Linked DNA regions of Drosophila melanogaster. The gene in region 1 interacts genetically with each later gene. Each region holds a gene or a part of one and is shown in the gene's direction. Other genes may lie near its edges.

Region 1 (4,898 bases):
CGGGGCATCTTGGAATCTCAGAATCTCGGCATCTTACACCTCTCGAGCGGCGTTTACCTGTGGTTCGTACTGGCGGAGTTGGTGGAGTGCCCTGAAGTGGTTTCAGAGTTCTGAGTTCTAAGATCGTTCTCAACTCGATGTTCGGCTGTCAGTTGCATGCTCTTCGATTTTGACAGATGATTCCGTACGGTTTGGGCAGTGTACCTTTTGATTGAGGTCTTCTGGCTTGGGACAGACGGCTATTAATATGTTTGATTATGGCTGCAGACCGGAGCATGGCGCTTTTACCCCATCGTGGAAATCTGTGGAAATGCTTTTCAATTTAAATGTATTTTCATGCTCTGAAACAAAGCGCCGAGCAAGACAATGCAACGCCTCTCGAGAGTCACAGCGTGGGATTCGAGATTCAAATGTGGACCGAGGAGTTAGTTGCGCTTTTCCAAGTGCACCTTTTGTATTTCTGTTATGGCAAAGTGAAAAAGGTCAAAACGCTTCGGATTTACCTGCCGAAACAGTGTCCTTTTGGCCCGATCCCGCAGAGCACATGGCGCAGGCGTAAAAACCCCGATTTCTTGTGGGCTGGGAACAGGTGAAGAAGAGGCCAACGAGATCTCGGTCTTGGATCTGCCCTAACAATGTTGACAACGCTCGTACAAAAATCTTTTTGCCAAAAGACAATCCATGGCCCACGCAGGCTCGGCTCACAGACACAGATGCAGATGCGGGCACAGTTACACACACAAACACACACAGATACAGATACAATTGCCGAGATCTTTTGTGCTTATATGGCAGCATTGCCCACACATACCCATGTATATACAGCCAGGTGAGAGAGCGGCGATCGCTTTACCTGAACGCTCTCAAATTCGCCGCAACAACAGAACCTCCAACAACAACAACAACAACAGCAGCAGTGTCAAGAAATTGGGATATACACAAGATCTTACCTGGGAACGACCTGCAATCGATGCGAATCTTAAATGCCCTGCACAGCTGTCGGAGTTAAGATGCTGTCGGATAATCCCCGCATTGGTTTTTTTGCTCTTGTCTTTGCTATTGGGCATTTTGGGGGGAGGGGAAAATCAGGACATTGTTGCTCAAGTACTTTCCTTTGTTGGAAAACTCGTCTCTGCAGTTGAAAAGGCTATTTATGGCGCCTTCTTAATCCTACCTAAACTTTGCTATCTTAAAACTGAGGTTGTTGCGTATAAATGCTTCTTAACTTTTTTAACATAAATCCCGTGTGTATATTATTTATACACGCCCTGTATATCGAGCAACATATTTTGTGCAAAAAGATTGTCCTTCTTTGGTATCCACTCTTCAAGCTTGGGATACTTAACCGCTCTGAGCCATGTACTCTATGTTAAGATTGTTAGTTGAAGTTATGTTCTGCGAACTTAAGATCTCTAGTTGGTGTTTCCGTTCATTTGAGATGGCGCTAAATTCGATTCTGTGCATTAGGGCCAACGTTTAGCATTTTCCCATGATATGTAGAGCATTTGCTGGTCTGGGGGAAGATTGCCCAATGTATCTGGCCGTATCGTTTCGTATTACGCTGACTTTTTAAAATGCTGCTGCTACGTTTACGATTACCTGTGGATTGTGGATGGAGATGGTCCGCTGGCGGTGCGAGTGGGAACGCTGCACTGAGCGAGCGAGAGGTGGCGACAGCGGTGCGCAGCTGTGCCGTAGTTGTTGCTGTATCGCTGGCTTTGCTTTTATTTTGACCTGATCTGAGCTCGAGATTTCGCCGTTCACCTTTATTTTTACCTGTGCGCGCTCTTTTCGCCGCAATCGAGAGTAAGAAACACGGCGAGAGAGTGAGAGAGAGAGACAGAGAGGGAGCAGCGCCTTTTGGCTGCGGCTTTGGCCTCAGTCTCGAATACAACTTGTTGCTGCGCGGACGCGAATCGCTCAGTACGGACGTCTTGAGCTCGAATCCTCGGCCATATCTGTGCTCTCGATCGCAGCGTTTGCTAATTCGAAGATCGTGCTAATCGAAGTACCGAGAAATCACAGTTCGCAAAACGACCAAAACCAAAGCCAAAAACGGGGTGTAAGCCAAGTGCCTTTGGCCTATACTATACTACTAAGCGTATTTTTGTGAATACCCTGCTAATTGGCAGCCGCGGCTGTGGCGGTTGTGGCTCAGTTCGAATGATGGCCAAGTGTGTGTGTTTTGTGCAAGTTAACCGCTGCGGGGGCAACACAACAATTGCTTAGGGCAATCAATTAAAGCTGAAAGCTAAGAGCTGCGCCTGCGCACGCCTCTCTAACCTCAAAAATCGTTGGCGAACTCAAAAAAGAAGCTGAAAAATACATCTGAAAAATAACAAAAATTTTATTTTTTACATACACTCATATATATATATATATATATATGAAAGCCTTCGGACGACTCTTGTGGCTCGTAATGTGAAACTGGTTCCTACACTCACGCACACACTCACTCACTGGCGCGTTCAAAAGACCCACTCGAAAACACACACTCACTCTCACGCGCATACACAGTGAAATGTAAACACCAATACAGTGGCAAATTGCAACGACAACAGCTTAAATTCAAAACAACAACAACAACAACAGCAACCGCAGCAAACGCAGTGAAAGAGTCGAAATCAAATTTATGAAAAGCTGTATTTTTGGCACGCAAAGCTGAGTGAGCAAAAAGCCGAAAGTAAACCGCAAGTTCAAGAAAAAGAAACGAATAAAAAATAACCCCTATGACGTCAGGGGTTATAGCTTGGAAGAGGGCTTGATTCATCCCACCAGTAACGCCCACAAAAAGCACCAACCACCAAACCACCCACCGCCCCGCAACAATGCTGCTGCGACGGCGCAACGGCCCCTGCCCCTTCCCCCTGCTGCTCCTGCTCCTGGCCCACTGCATTTGCATTTGGCCCGCGTCGGCGGCCCGCGATCGCTACGCCCGCCAGAACAATCGCCAGCGCCATCAGGATATAGATCGCGATCGGGATCGAGATCGATTCCTATACCGCAGCAGTTCGGCCCAAAATCGACAGAGGGGCGGGGCCAACTTCGCCCTGGGACTGGGAGCCAACGGAGTCACCATTCCCACCAGTCTGGAGGATAAGAACAAGAACGAGTTCGTCAAGGGGAAAAGTAAGTGCACCGCAAGGATCTATCCATCTTCCTCAAGCCGCCCATCATCTATCAAAATGTGTTTATGTAGATCATCTGGCTGACTGACTGGCTGCCCATATATCAAAAGAGCCAAGTCGTCCCGAATTTGGCCACCGTATCAGTTGGTCTCTAGAGTTTCCACCGTTTTCAGGTGTTTTTTTTTTTATTGTAGTTTCGTGCCAGCGATATGCTGTCGTTTATCTTATCGCTGTGATGTTTTTTTTTTATTTTTCCCCTGTACTGCACTTTAAATATAGCTTCGTTTTCGGCTGCATTTCGTATTATTTGGTCTTATCGTTACCCTGGGAATATCAATTATCGAGGGGTAGCTGCAAAGTGTGCAATATTACAAATATTTTACTAAGCTCATAGATTAAAAAACACTTGCAATAGTGTGTGAATTCGTAGTATTTTAAGTAATATAAGCTTACTTAACATTTATGTGTCTGGAATATGGACTTTGAATGATATTTCCCAATATCACGTATACGCCAGGGTATCCCCTAGTCCAGAGTGAATGCTCCCTCCATTTAATACCTGCCCTTCGCGACGGTCTCACCTGCCCTGTGGCTCACCTCTTGACTTGGCGCTGGCTTAGTCAAAGAGTCTTGTGTGCACTATCGCCCCTGTTTCGAGTTACCCCCACACCTAGCCATCAGATATCACGGCAAACATACCAGAATACCAGAACGCACTGATTAGCCAAGCACTGAGCACTGTGCTGTGCATTTCGTAATGTCAAATGTACAAGGTAAAGCGTAGTAGTTAGTTAGTGTTAAGACCGCCCGATTTTTCCACTCTGCCACTTTTCCCGCCGTCTGCGTGCCCTTTTCTGTGCATCAGCAGCAATTGCAATTGCAACAGCAAAAGCAACAGTAAGAGCAATAGGGCAACTGCAACTAGCGACACAATTTCCAGCTAAAATGGCGACTCAATTTGTTGACTCTGCAGTTCTCGAGGTTTTCTTTGTGGGCTCTTTGTTTCTTACCCGTTGGAAAATAAATTAATACACAAAATTTGGTATTCGCATATTGGAAGTTTTGGCTGCTTGGCTGGCTGGCTGTATGTTTGGGTAACCATTTGGCCACAATTTAATGAACTCCATGGCGTATCTGGCGGTGTCTGTTTGCACAGTACTTTGAGGCAAATGTTTGTATTCGGCGGGCAAACAGAAAAGTAAAAATTAAATGGGAGGCGAATAAAAGCGGGCCGTCGATACCAAGTACTCAGTGATCTTGTAGCTGCAAATTAATAACTGAATGTGCGCATTGTGCGCCAGCAACTGTGCAAATATTGATAGGAAAACGAAAACTTTGGCTACGCAGTCTATGCTAATGGGAGACGGGAGACCACCACCGCATAGCCGGATATGTGGATGTGGTATGTATGTATGTATGTATGGCTAGATAAGCGAGTTATGAAACCGATAAAGATGCCAGAACCTTAAAAAGCGATATTACCCTTTTTTTTCGCACAGACGATCGCTGCTGTCACAATGCCCTTTTCGCAGAAATTGTTCGAGTTATTTGCTCTGGCTTACTGTTTCGCTGTTTTCTTTATGACCATAAAAATAAGCACAGCTGCGGCATGTATGCAAATAAATGCTAGAGAAAAGCCTGCACGTGCATTCGAATCGAAACCGTTAAAAAAATCGTTGGGGGTAGGAAACTCGAACAACTGGCAATTGTTGTTGACGTCTTTATAGTTCAAAACGCTACACTCGCTGGCAAAAAATCACCTTTTAATTG
Region 2 (4,567 bases), 2.3 Mb from region 1:
AAATCTGAATGTGAACAAGGCAGCTGAAAAATTCACTTACCGGCAGGGCAGAGGACCTCTTGCCCCGCCCCAAGACTCCTCGGATGATGACTACGAAGATGTGGAGGATGGCATCCGGGCCATGCACAAGGTGAAGTCCGGAAGAATAGAGAAACAGCGACCACCAACGCAGGCCACAAAAGGTGGCAAAAAAGAACTGAAACTGAAACCCGAACTGGCCCAGGCGGCTTTGGAGGCCATGGAGGCCACCAGCTCAACCACGCCGGCTGCAAACTCGTTGGCCAGTAAGCTGCAATCGGAACTCCTGGGCGGACGTTTCCGATACATCAACGAGCAGCTCTACTCGACGACCAGTCGCAAGGCGGAGGCACTTTTCCGCAAGGATAGCTCCGCCTTCGAGGCCTATCACGCTGGCTACCGCCAGCAGGTGGAGAAGTGGCCCATCAATCCGCTTAATCGCATCATCAAGACCATCAAGAAGATTCCCAAAACAGCCATAATTGGCGACTTTGGTTGCGGCGAGGGCAAATTGGCACAATCCGTGCCCAACAAGGTGTACTCCATGGACTTGGTCGCTGCTCGTAGCGACATCATTGCCTGCAACATCACGGATACTCCACTCCAAGCTCGAACTCTGGACGTGGCCGTATACTGCCTCTCACTAATGGGCACGGATCTGAACGAGTTCTTCCTGGAGGCCAATCGAGTGCTCAAGCTGCACGGCACTGTCTATATCGCGGAGATTCAGTCGCGATTCCAGGATGTGCGGGAGTTTGTGCGTTGCCTCAATGCATGTGGATTCGATCTTAACAAGAAGGATGTGGCTGTTAACTATTTCTACTTCTTCCAATTCAAGAAGATGCGTCATGTGCCCAAGAACACCAAGATGAAAGCTTTCTCTCTCAAACCTTGCTTATATCGCAAGCGATAGGATGTTATCCTATTCAGATTAGTAGATTTCCGACTTTGCGAACTGTTAAAGAAACCAAGACAGCGAATGCAATTATAGATAGTTACATTAATTTTATGTAGGAGAAACCGCAATAAATTTGGAATTCTTACAAATGTGTTTTGATCTCTTATTATTCGGTCGAAAATATACAAATTGATAATAAGGCGCGATAATTTAGCAACAAAAAAGGGCACAGATTAAAAATGTATGTCGAATACATAGCGCCTTGATATATGCGACAAAAATGTATAAAAGATAAAAAATCACTCGAATTTCCATTAGAGGTCATATAATTTTTAAAAAATTTAACGATTGAAATCGGACCATACATTTATTAAGAAAACATAGATTTATATACATTTTGTAGCGATATCAAACAGCGCTATTGCTATAAACATTTGAAAAGCAAACCGAAGCACTCAGATGAACCAACGGCATTTGCCAGCACTGCAACCACTCGGTGGTGGTTTCTCAGCAAAACTCAGTGGTCTCAACTGAAATCGACTCAAATCCAAATCGAGCAGCGGCAAGCGGATGGCTCTCAGTTTCAGTTTTCGGTTTCAGTACCAGTTTGCTCTTCGTGCACAGCACATCGAATATTTGTGAAGACGGTACGTTTTGTGTGATCGCGCTGCCAGAATTGTGAGAAGATTTGTTGTTTGGCCAGCAGCAAAGTAATTGCAAAACGGCGACGAGCGGATAGAAAAGAAAAGCGCGCAATTCGGCAGCAGTGTGTTTATAAATAAAATGGGAAATTAATTTATTAGCAACCACTATTCGCGCATTTTCCGCCCACGCCCACCCCGCTCTCTATTATACCCCTGAGCCCAACCCCCCTCACAGCACACACACCCCTTCAACTCCCACTCTTGCGTTCTCTATTACTCACTCAAAGAAACTCAACGTCAAATTTTCAACAGGTATTCAACGACGACGACGACGACAACAACAAATTGTCTTTTTTCGCGAACGAATAGAAAAAAGTGGCAAAGAATTTGTTTACTAGTGTGAAAGCGAGTGAGTGCAGTGCCCACGGGAGAAAAGTGAAAACAACACAAATACAGGAGTAAAAATCAGCCAACCGCCAAACTAACGGTAACTGCGTGTCCTTGCTGTGGATTAAAAAGGATTCTAGAGGCGTCTTAAAAGGGTGAGTACAATTTGGGGATTGCGACATAGGTTAATTACATTTTTATTCAAGTTTTTTTCTTTTGGGCTGTGGTCGGGAGTTTTTGGTGGCTTATGTTTTCGATACCAACACAAGCGCAGAATGACTTGGGCAGTATGACTTCATAGCACACACCACACACACACACACACACCCGAAAGCAGAGTTAATTGAGAGCAGCTTTGCGAGCGGGAGCGAAAAGAGAGCTCGACTCACTCACGCGGCATTTGTATCTGCGTATCTGTATCTGTGAGCTGTCAAGCTTTTCGAGTGTATCTTTTGGCACGATATTCTTATTCTTTCGACTTCTTGTTTTTGTCAACTCGGCCCACATTGTTGTTGTCGCCAGCTCTCTTTTGATTTTGCCTCTGTCTTTGCCTTACTCCAATTTTCCTTCTTCTGTGTTTTCCTCGTTTGCTTCGCATTTCGGGGCGCAGGGTGGGAAATTCTTATTGGGCCCGCGGTAGTCAAGGAAACGTTCCACAACACCGATCGGATACAAATGTATCTCAAAGGTAGTTTCGTTTAGCAGTGAACTTTAAAAAAGGGGGCAAATACTTTATATCTTTATAAAACCTACTCAGTATCGGTAAAACTACAACGTATGTATGTATATGTATCTCAAAGATACGCATGTGGAAAGGCATACAATCACTTTTGAATTCTACGCAAATTGAAAAGGTTATTCATAATGATGATTATGAATAGAAAACTTCTTAAGTGTAAATATCAATTGAGTAGAATTTATACTTTGAATTTATATTTTAAAGAAGGCCAACTACCAACCGAAAAATCAAAATTCCTAGAACTGCGCACTTTATGAAACCGATTCCTTTCATTTCCTTCTCTCGCTTAAATATAATTTTGGAATTTCGTCGCATTCATATGGCATATATAATAGTTTCATATGGCGGCTAAATTCCCCAAGCATCAAGACGTCACTGTTCCCAAAATAGAATCCATTGGGTTTGCGAGCAGGTTTCCACATTTCTTATCACAACATTGAGCGCTTTTTGCATTGGCATTTTTCATATGTTTGATATCGGCTGGGGTAAACAACGTCGGTCTTTATCCCAGCCACTAGGAAACATGGCTAAGATAAGATAAGGCCACCACAACAAAGGCCAGTTATGAATGGCAGGTGACTGGTGGCGATATTTTAGGTGTCCCCTCATCCCCCATCCACTGAGTCACGGCACGATTTTCACCATCCCCGGAAAACCTGGGGCGTTGACTTGGCAACCAAAAAACCGTTCTTCGAAAACCGCTGTTTACGTGAAGTCTTTTTTCTTCCACCTTTTCCGGGAGGTGTGGGCTTTGACCCAAATAGTAAGAAACATTAACATGTAGACTTCGTCTTCTTGGCCAGGCCATGCAAAGTGGGAATGGAAACGAACTGGCTAACATGAGGTTGAGCTTGCATTAGAAAAGAAAGAAATAAAAAAAACCGGTTGTTGCTGGCCAAGAAGTTGGCTGCACAGCAGACAAACAGATAAAGCAGCCGAGCAAAGCAAACGAGGAGTGCCAGCCAACTGAATGCCAATAACTGTACAACCAGCGAGTGGAAAACTATACTACAAAAATCTGGAGAGTGAGAGAGTTTCGGAGGGCTAACGACTTGGCAGCACGCGAATGAACATGGCTAAAAAAAAAACAAAATGAGTCGGAATCAGAGCCCCCTCGAAAACCTGAATTCGAACACGACTCCGAATTCGAGCGTTACCAACTAGGTGTGTCTTCCAGCGTTAGAAGCTCCCAGAGCGCGTCTCTCCGTATTCTCTCGGATTCTCTCGTCGGAAAACGGAGACTAAGCCCCAACCAGCGATTTTCCAGCGTGGCCAGATCGTTGTTAAGATTGGGGATCTCACCTACTATGTGTAGCACTTAATATCTTCATCTTTATGAATCCTCTTTAGAATCGCTAGCTATTCTTAGTTCACCGGAAGATTTCCACCCTCCTTCAGCGAGGTGAAAAACCAATCTAATCTTTCAACAAACTTAATCGGATGGAAGGCAGCTTTTCCAGCCCCCTTTTTAGCCAATCAGTTTCCCTCTTGCGCTCCTCCTAAATGCCCATTCGATTTTCCGTTTTCTATTTTTATTCCTTGTCGCATCGATTTTTACTTGTGCGGATGGGGCGTCTATAGGTCTATGATTAATGTGCAAAGCGCTGAAGTGGACAAAATTCTCCTCGAGGGCGGTTCGTTTGTTTACTTTCTCCGCCCTTCGCGACACTTTTTCCCTCACCTTCTGGGCAGAAATCAAAACGCGATGTGCATGTGGGTGCGGCATACCAACACAGTGAAAAATATTAACCTAAAACCACTTATTCTGTTCTACTAAATAAAATAGTTATGTTCCTTAAACCAAAAAATTGTTTCAACCCTTTTCTATATTATATATATTATTTTAAAAAGACTTGCATACGGATACAACATCTAAAATGA
Region 3 (4,796 bases), on another chromosome or scaffold:
TATGATTAAGCAGAAAATGATGCACTGCGAGAAATTATTATGGAATTGTATAAGTGGTAGGGAAGTTCCATCATATAAAACAAGTGCATATGGCACGTTAAATGCAAGTCGAAAATTGATTTTTTAAAGTGTGTATGAAATGAGGCCCAGCTGCAATCAGCGGGCCAACTTGTTGTAAACAAATTGAAGTGGCACTCAGTGATCCCCTGCTCCGCCGCTCTTCTTCTTGTGTTGGCCATTACCAATTGCACTCGGGTTCAACCCTTACCCTCGACCATTCCCCATACCCAATTCCCTGGGGATCGAATTGGATGGGATTGTATGGACGGAGTGGTATAGGATGGTATGGCATGGGGACGTGCCTTCATTAGGCCATGCAGAGCGCGTAGGCAGAATGTGTAAACACACATCGATTTCCATTCCGAATGCGTCTCGTGTGCTATGCGTAATTTTAATTGATTTCATTTACGCATTTTTGACTAATGTTCACACGCCGATGCATCGGACTGGCGGGGGGTGCAGCTCATTTAGCATGGACTCGGCGCGTTGATGGACAGAATCCAACTCCAAATGGCTGCATCGGGGAATTTATTTTTGGCCCTATCGTCCCACTCTCGCATCCGCCGTTCGCCTGGTTTTCCCCACCCAGAAAAAAAAAAACCCAAAATCTGTAACATAAATTTCACTTTGATCTATTTTTGAGTGGCCAATGCAAGTTTGCTAAATTCTGTTCAGCAGAAGGAATATTTAAAATTTTTAATTGCTACTAGAGTGCGCGCACTCAGCGGCGACGACCCAGTTTCAAAACATCTTTGCTGGCCAGAATCTCGACTGGGTTAGGGGATTTCTAATGGTGGTGAAAAGGAGGGAGCACTAATCTCTAGATAGCATTTTTATGTTACGAAATATACAGTTTTACTCTAATTAATGTGTGTGACACATACTATTTTTAGCCATCTTCATGCATAAGCATCTTATAAAACAGCAAAAACATGGTATTACATGTAGGAAATGTGATTCACTTTCGCTAAACACAACTTTAAACGCACCCCCACTTTGCTAATTGCCCATTTTGGCTATCGTAACTCCTATTTTACTTCACTTTTGATTGCCTTGGGGTTTTCTTCCCCATTCTGCCATCAATCTCCAAGTTGACATCCCAACCACGAGCGATTTGGAAAGAAACGTGTGACTTACCGAACGATAAACTGAAAGTAAACCTCCAAGTTGCCTGGGCCATCAATCAATCAGTCACTTAATATGAATATGAAAATATGAACCCGAACCCACAACAAATGCAATGTGGGTTTATCTGGCGTACATTCGCCATTCATTATTCATTGTGTGTTTTTCCTCTCGCCAGCCAAGTTTTCTTATCTCAGGCAACAATGTTGGCCGCGTTTTTCTTTGGGCCACTGTAAGTGCAACTTGAAAGGCGATTTTTAGGCCATTTTTGCAGTAAATGTAGCAGTACTTGAAGCATTTTGTAGTTGGACAAGGTTCAATGAGCAGGCAAACCGCTGAAAAGCCCAGTTACCCAGACCACACCCAATTGATTTTCACTCACTGACCATCTGAGAGATGCGTTTATGACACCAATCGACTTGAAATTTAAACAAGCAATATTTTAGATACATAAGCATGCCTTGACTTTACAATCAGTTGTTTTATATATTTTGCTTGTAACACACTTTTGATAACATGAAGAAAATTTACTGTGTGAAAAATTGTGAAAAACTTATTTAATGTATGGTTCGTATAAGGTGCCGTCCTAGTGCTTCTTGCGACCCTGGCAGAGAGATTGATGCGCCTTCAGCTGGTGGCCCTTGAACTCCAGGCCACATCTGGGACAGCCGACGGTCTGTTTGAAGAGATTGCACTAGAGGCGCTGACGCGGAGTAAGTTCGTCCTCGCTGGACAGCAGAGTAGTCGAGTTGCTGTTCAGCTCTGTGTAACCGGAGCTGCGAAGAATTCGCTTTGATGAATTTGATTTCGATTTGGTGCAGCGTGATGTGGAAGATCCCGAGGAGGAGAAACGGGTGTCCAAGTCCTTTGAAGTAAACGATGGCGGTTCCAAGCACACCATAATGGTACCGCGCTTCATTTTCTCAAAGCAAATGGGACAAGATACGATGTCGTTGTTGAGCAAGTGGGCTGCACGGTGTTCTTACGCTGCAAGTCTTTCATCAGGATGTCTTCTCCAAAAACATCGTCAATAATGGATTGATCAGCTAGTTCCGTGGCGGCTGTTAAACTGTCATTTGCCGGCCGCCTCATAATCGATTGAAAGGGTATTGACCTCGCACAAGGTCAATTCATCCTCCATTATCTAGCGCTTGATGTTCTGCGTGCGCTCCTGACTGCTCATGGTGTTCCTGCAAGCTGGCATCTTTAGCTCATCCTTTGACTGCGCTGCTTCTGTTCATCAATTTTCTTCATTTTATGTTATTAAAAAATATGTTACTATATGGAAGTGTTTGAATTTACATTAGAATAGCCTACTATGTTTTCGACCTAGTGTCATAGAGGCCTAACATTTTTGCCATTTGGCTGGGAGCCATTCAATTCGTTTGCCATGCAGTCGGCATTTGCTTTTATTTCTACGTAATTGCGAATCTTTTGAAGCGATGCGAACTATATCATCGCAGTACATTTTCCTACCCGTATGCATATTGATTGATAGCCAATTTGCACGTGCTCCACTTTGTGCCTGGGTTTTGCTTATTGTCGCCATGTTCTGCCCATACGAAATCAGTTCCCCTGGTCGCAGTTCTTTGGCTGCACCCACATGGATTGTCACGTTTGTGTTTTGTTTTGCTTTTGAGTTCTTGGAAATGTGTCGAACACAAGAGCCGCGAGTTTTCCACCCAGCAATTTGCAATCTTTGATAGATGGCTTATGTAACTGCCAGAGAGTGTAAGGCACAACACAACACAACACCAAAGTGGCGAAAATATTAGACGCGTCGGGGGAATTACGTCGTTTGGTCTGCGGGTTTCGAGTCGACAAGTGCAAGGCACTCAATCAATTAGCGATAGTCGATAGCCATAGACATGGGCTTTATCAATGCTTCGGTTAACTTCGTGGTTGCACTGGAAAATATTCGAAACTAAGAGGAGTTAGAAAGTCAAATTTTAGCAAGGCACTTTCAGCTAACAAATATTATATTGCTTCTTAAGTGTTGCAAAACTAAAAAATATCGCAAACCCCCTATCGATATCATTGAACTTTTTTTTTATTAATAATGTTTTTATTACTGTGTATAGCGGTTTCCCATAATTTACACCACTCATGTTACGCTAAAGTTTTATTGAGTTCCATTAATTTACGACTTTCTATGGTCGTAATTAAGATTATCCTTTGCTCGCGCTCCGCAATTGCCGCCGATTTTCCATGAATGGCAGCTTTTTATCGGACCTGCACTCGCATAATTCATTTTATCATTTTGACAGATTCGGAATGGAATAGCGACTTTCCTCGCCCACCCAACACGCGTACGAGATTTCAATTGCCCGTCGAGTGGCACACATATATTATACCAGCTCTCGAAATGAGACGCATCATAAATAATAACTAATGTTTTGATAAGACCCCAATGAGCGCCAACCACTTTTTCTGTTTATCAAATTACGTATGAAGTTTGCTCATTAATTTTGGCAAAGTGAGTGTAGGGGAAACATGGGTAGTGTAGCACACAGAAACCCCTGCAGGAGGCCTAACCCCTTTCGCTGAGATTGGGTCTGAGTCGCTTCCGCTGATTTGCACTGAAAGTTGCACAGTGGGGTTTTTGCACCTCGGTTTTGTATCTCGAGAAAGGGGGATTTCTTGGTCTTCAAGTCGCGCTCATTGCGTGGGCTTTGAGCCGTCGAGGAACGTCATCCTCCAAGTCTGTGGCGTGCAGACGACAGAACTAGACGTAATCTCGGCGAGCTGTCAAACAGTATCTTAAAGATGCCTCTCCGACTACTTGGCTGGCAACTGGTTCTGAACGCAGCCGTCTGCGGAGAGGCACTAAATTCTGCGGCCTTTTGACCAAGTTTATGACACACGTTTAGCTGTCTAGTTGGCCCACGCTCATCCGCTTTCAGCAGGAAGAGAGTTGAAGTTGCCCATTCTCCGTTGGTGCGACTCCCCTTTTCCTCTCCATCGCCCCTATGTGTTTCTATTTTCAATTAAGATCTCGTATTTCAGGCGCCCGACAAACGGGCAATTGTTGTTGTTAAATTATTAATTGACATTTGCCTGGCGCCACAGAAGAGCAACTCAAGTGCCAAGACTCCCACCCGCTCTCCCTTTTTTTGTTTACAAATTAGTTACACAGTTTTTCAATTTACTTATATTTCGTATTGCCCGTTTTTCTGTTTGCCCCGTAGGTGAATTCAGTGCGAATGTTCAGCCAGACGTCGAAGCTATGGCCGCCGCCGCTTTGAGTGGCATGGAAATGGGATCTGGACCAGGATCAGAGGGATATGAGGATGCCGACAACGAGAAAAGCAAGACCGTGGAAAATGGTGAGTCTACCATCTTAATAAAATGATTTAAAAAAGCGTGTTATAAATCAGCATCGAATATTTTGCATATCTTATCTTATTTTATCTTATATATAATATTAGTTCGGATTAATATAACTTATGATCATAACACTCGGATGTATAGATCAACAGCAAGTTTATATTTTGAATTTGGCGACCTAAGTTCAACATCCTCGATAGTATAGTGGTTAGTATCCCCGCCTGTCACGCGGGAGACCGGGGTTCAATTCCCCGTCGGGGAGATGTGTAAATAATTTTTTTTTT

Evidence for each region.
Region 2: of Egfr (region 1) and cora, changing one suppresses a phenotype caused by changing the other (phenotypic suppression), as found in Drosophila melanogaster (2 studies listed by BioGRID).
Region 3: of Egfr (region 1) and tkv, changing one suppresses a phenotype caused by changing the other (phenotypic suppression), as found in Drosophila melanogaster (2 studies listed by BioGRID).

What each region holds. Positions count from the first base shown.
Region 1 is NT_033778.4:21,544,763-21,549,660, forward strand, and holds the start of Egfr (epidermal growth factor receptor), read left to right. Parts: upstream 1-1,880; 5' UTR 1,881-2,828; coding exon 2,829-3,129; intron 3,130-4,898. UniProt on the Drosophila melanogaster protein: Receptor tyrosine kinase, binding ligands of the EGF family and activating several signaling cascades to convert extracellular cues into appropriate cellular responses. Known ligands include spitz, gurken, vein and giant-lens.
Region 2 is NT_033778.4:19,227,552-19,232,118, forward strand, and holds the start of cora (coracle), read left to right. Parts: upstream 1-1,511; 5' UTR 1,512-1,563; intron 1,564-1,872; 5' UTR 1,873-2,102; intron 2,103-4,567. Other genes in the region: CG7137 (uncharacterized protein), read left to right, coding at 1-931. UniProt on the Drosophila melanogaster protein: An integral component of the septate junction. May play a role in cell-cell interactions that are necessary for proper development. Vital for embryonic development.
Region 3 is NT_033779.5:5,241,084-5,245,879, reverse strand, and holds the start of tkv (thickveins), read left to right. Parts: upstream 1-1,740; 5' UTR 1,741-1,804; coding exon 1,805-1,898; exon of another isoform or gene 1,899-3,181; intron 3,182-3,259; exon of another isoform or gene 3,260-3,661; intron 3,662-4,373; coding exon 4,374-4,511; intron 4,512-4,702; exon of another isoform or gene 4,703-4,774; intron 4,775-4,796.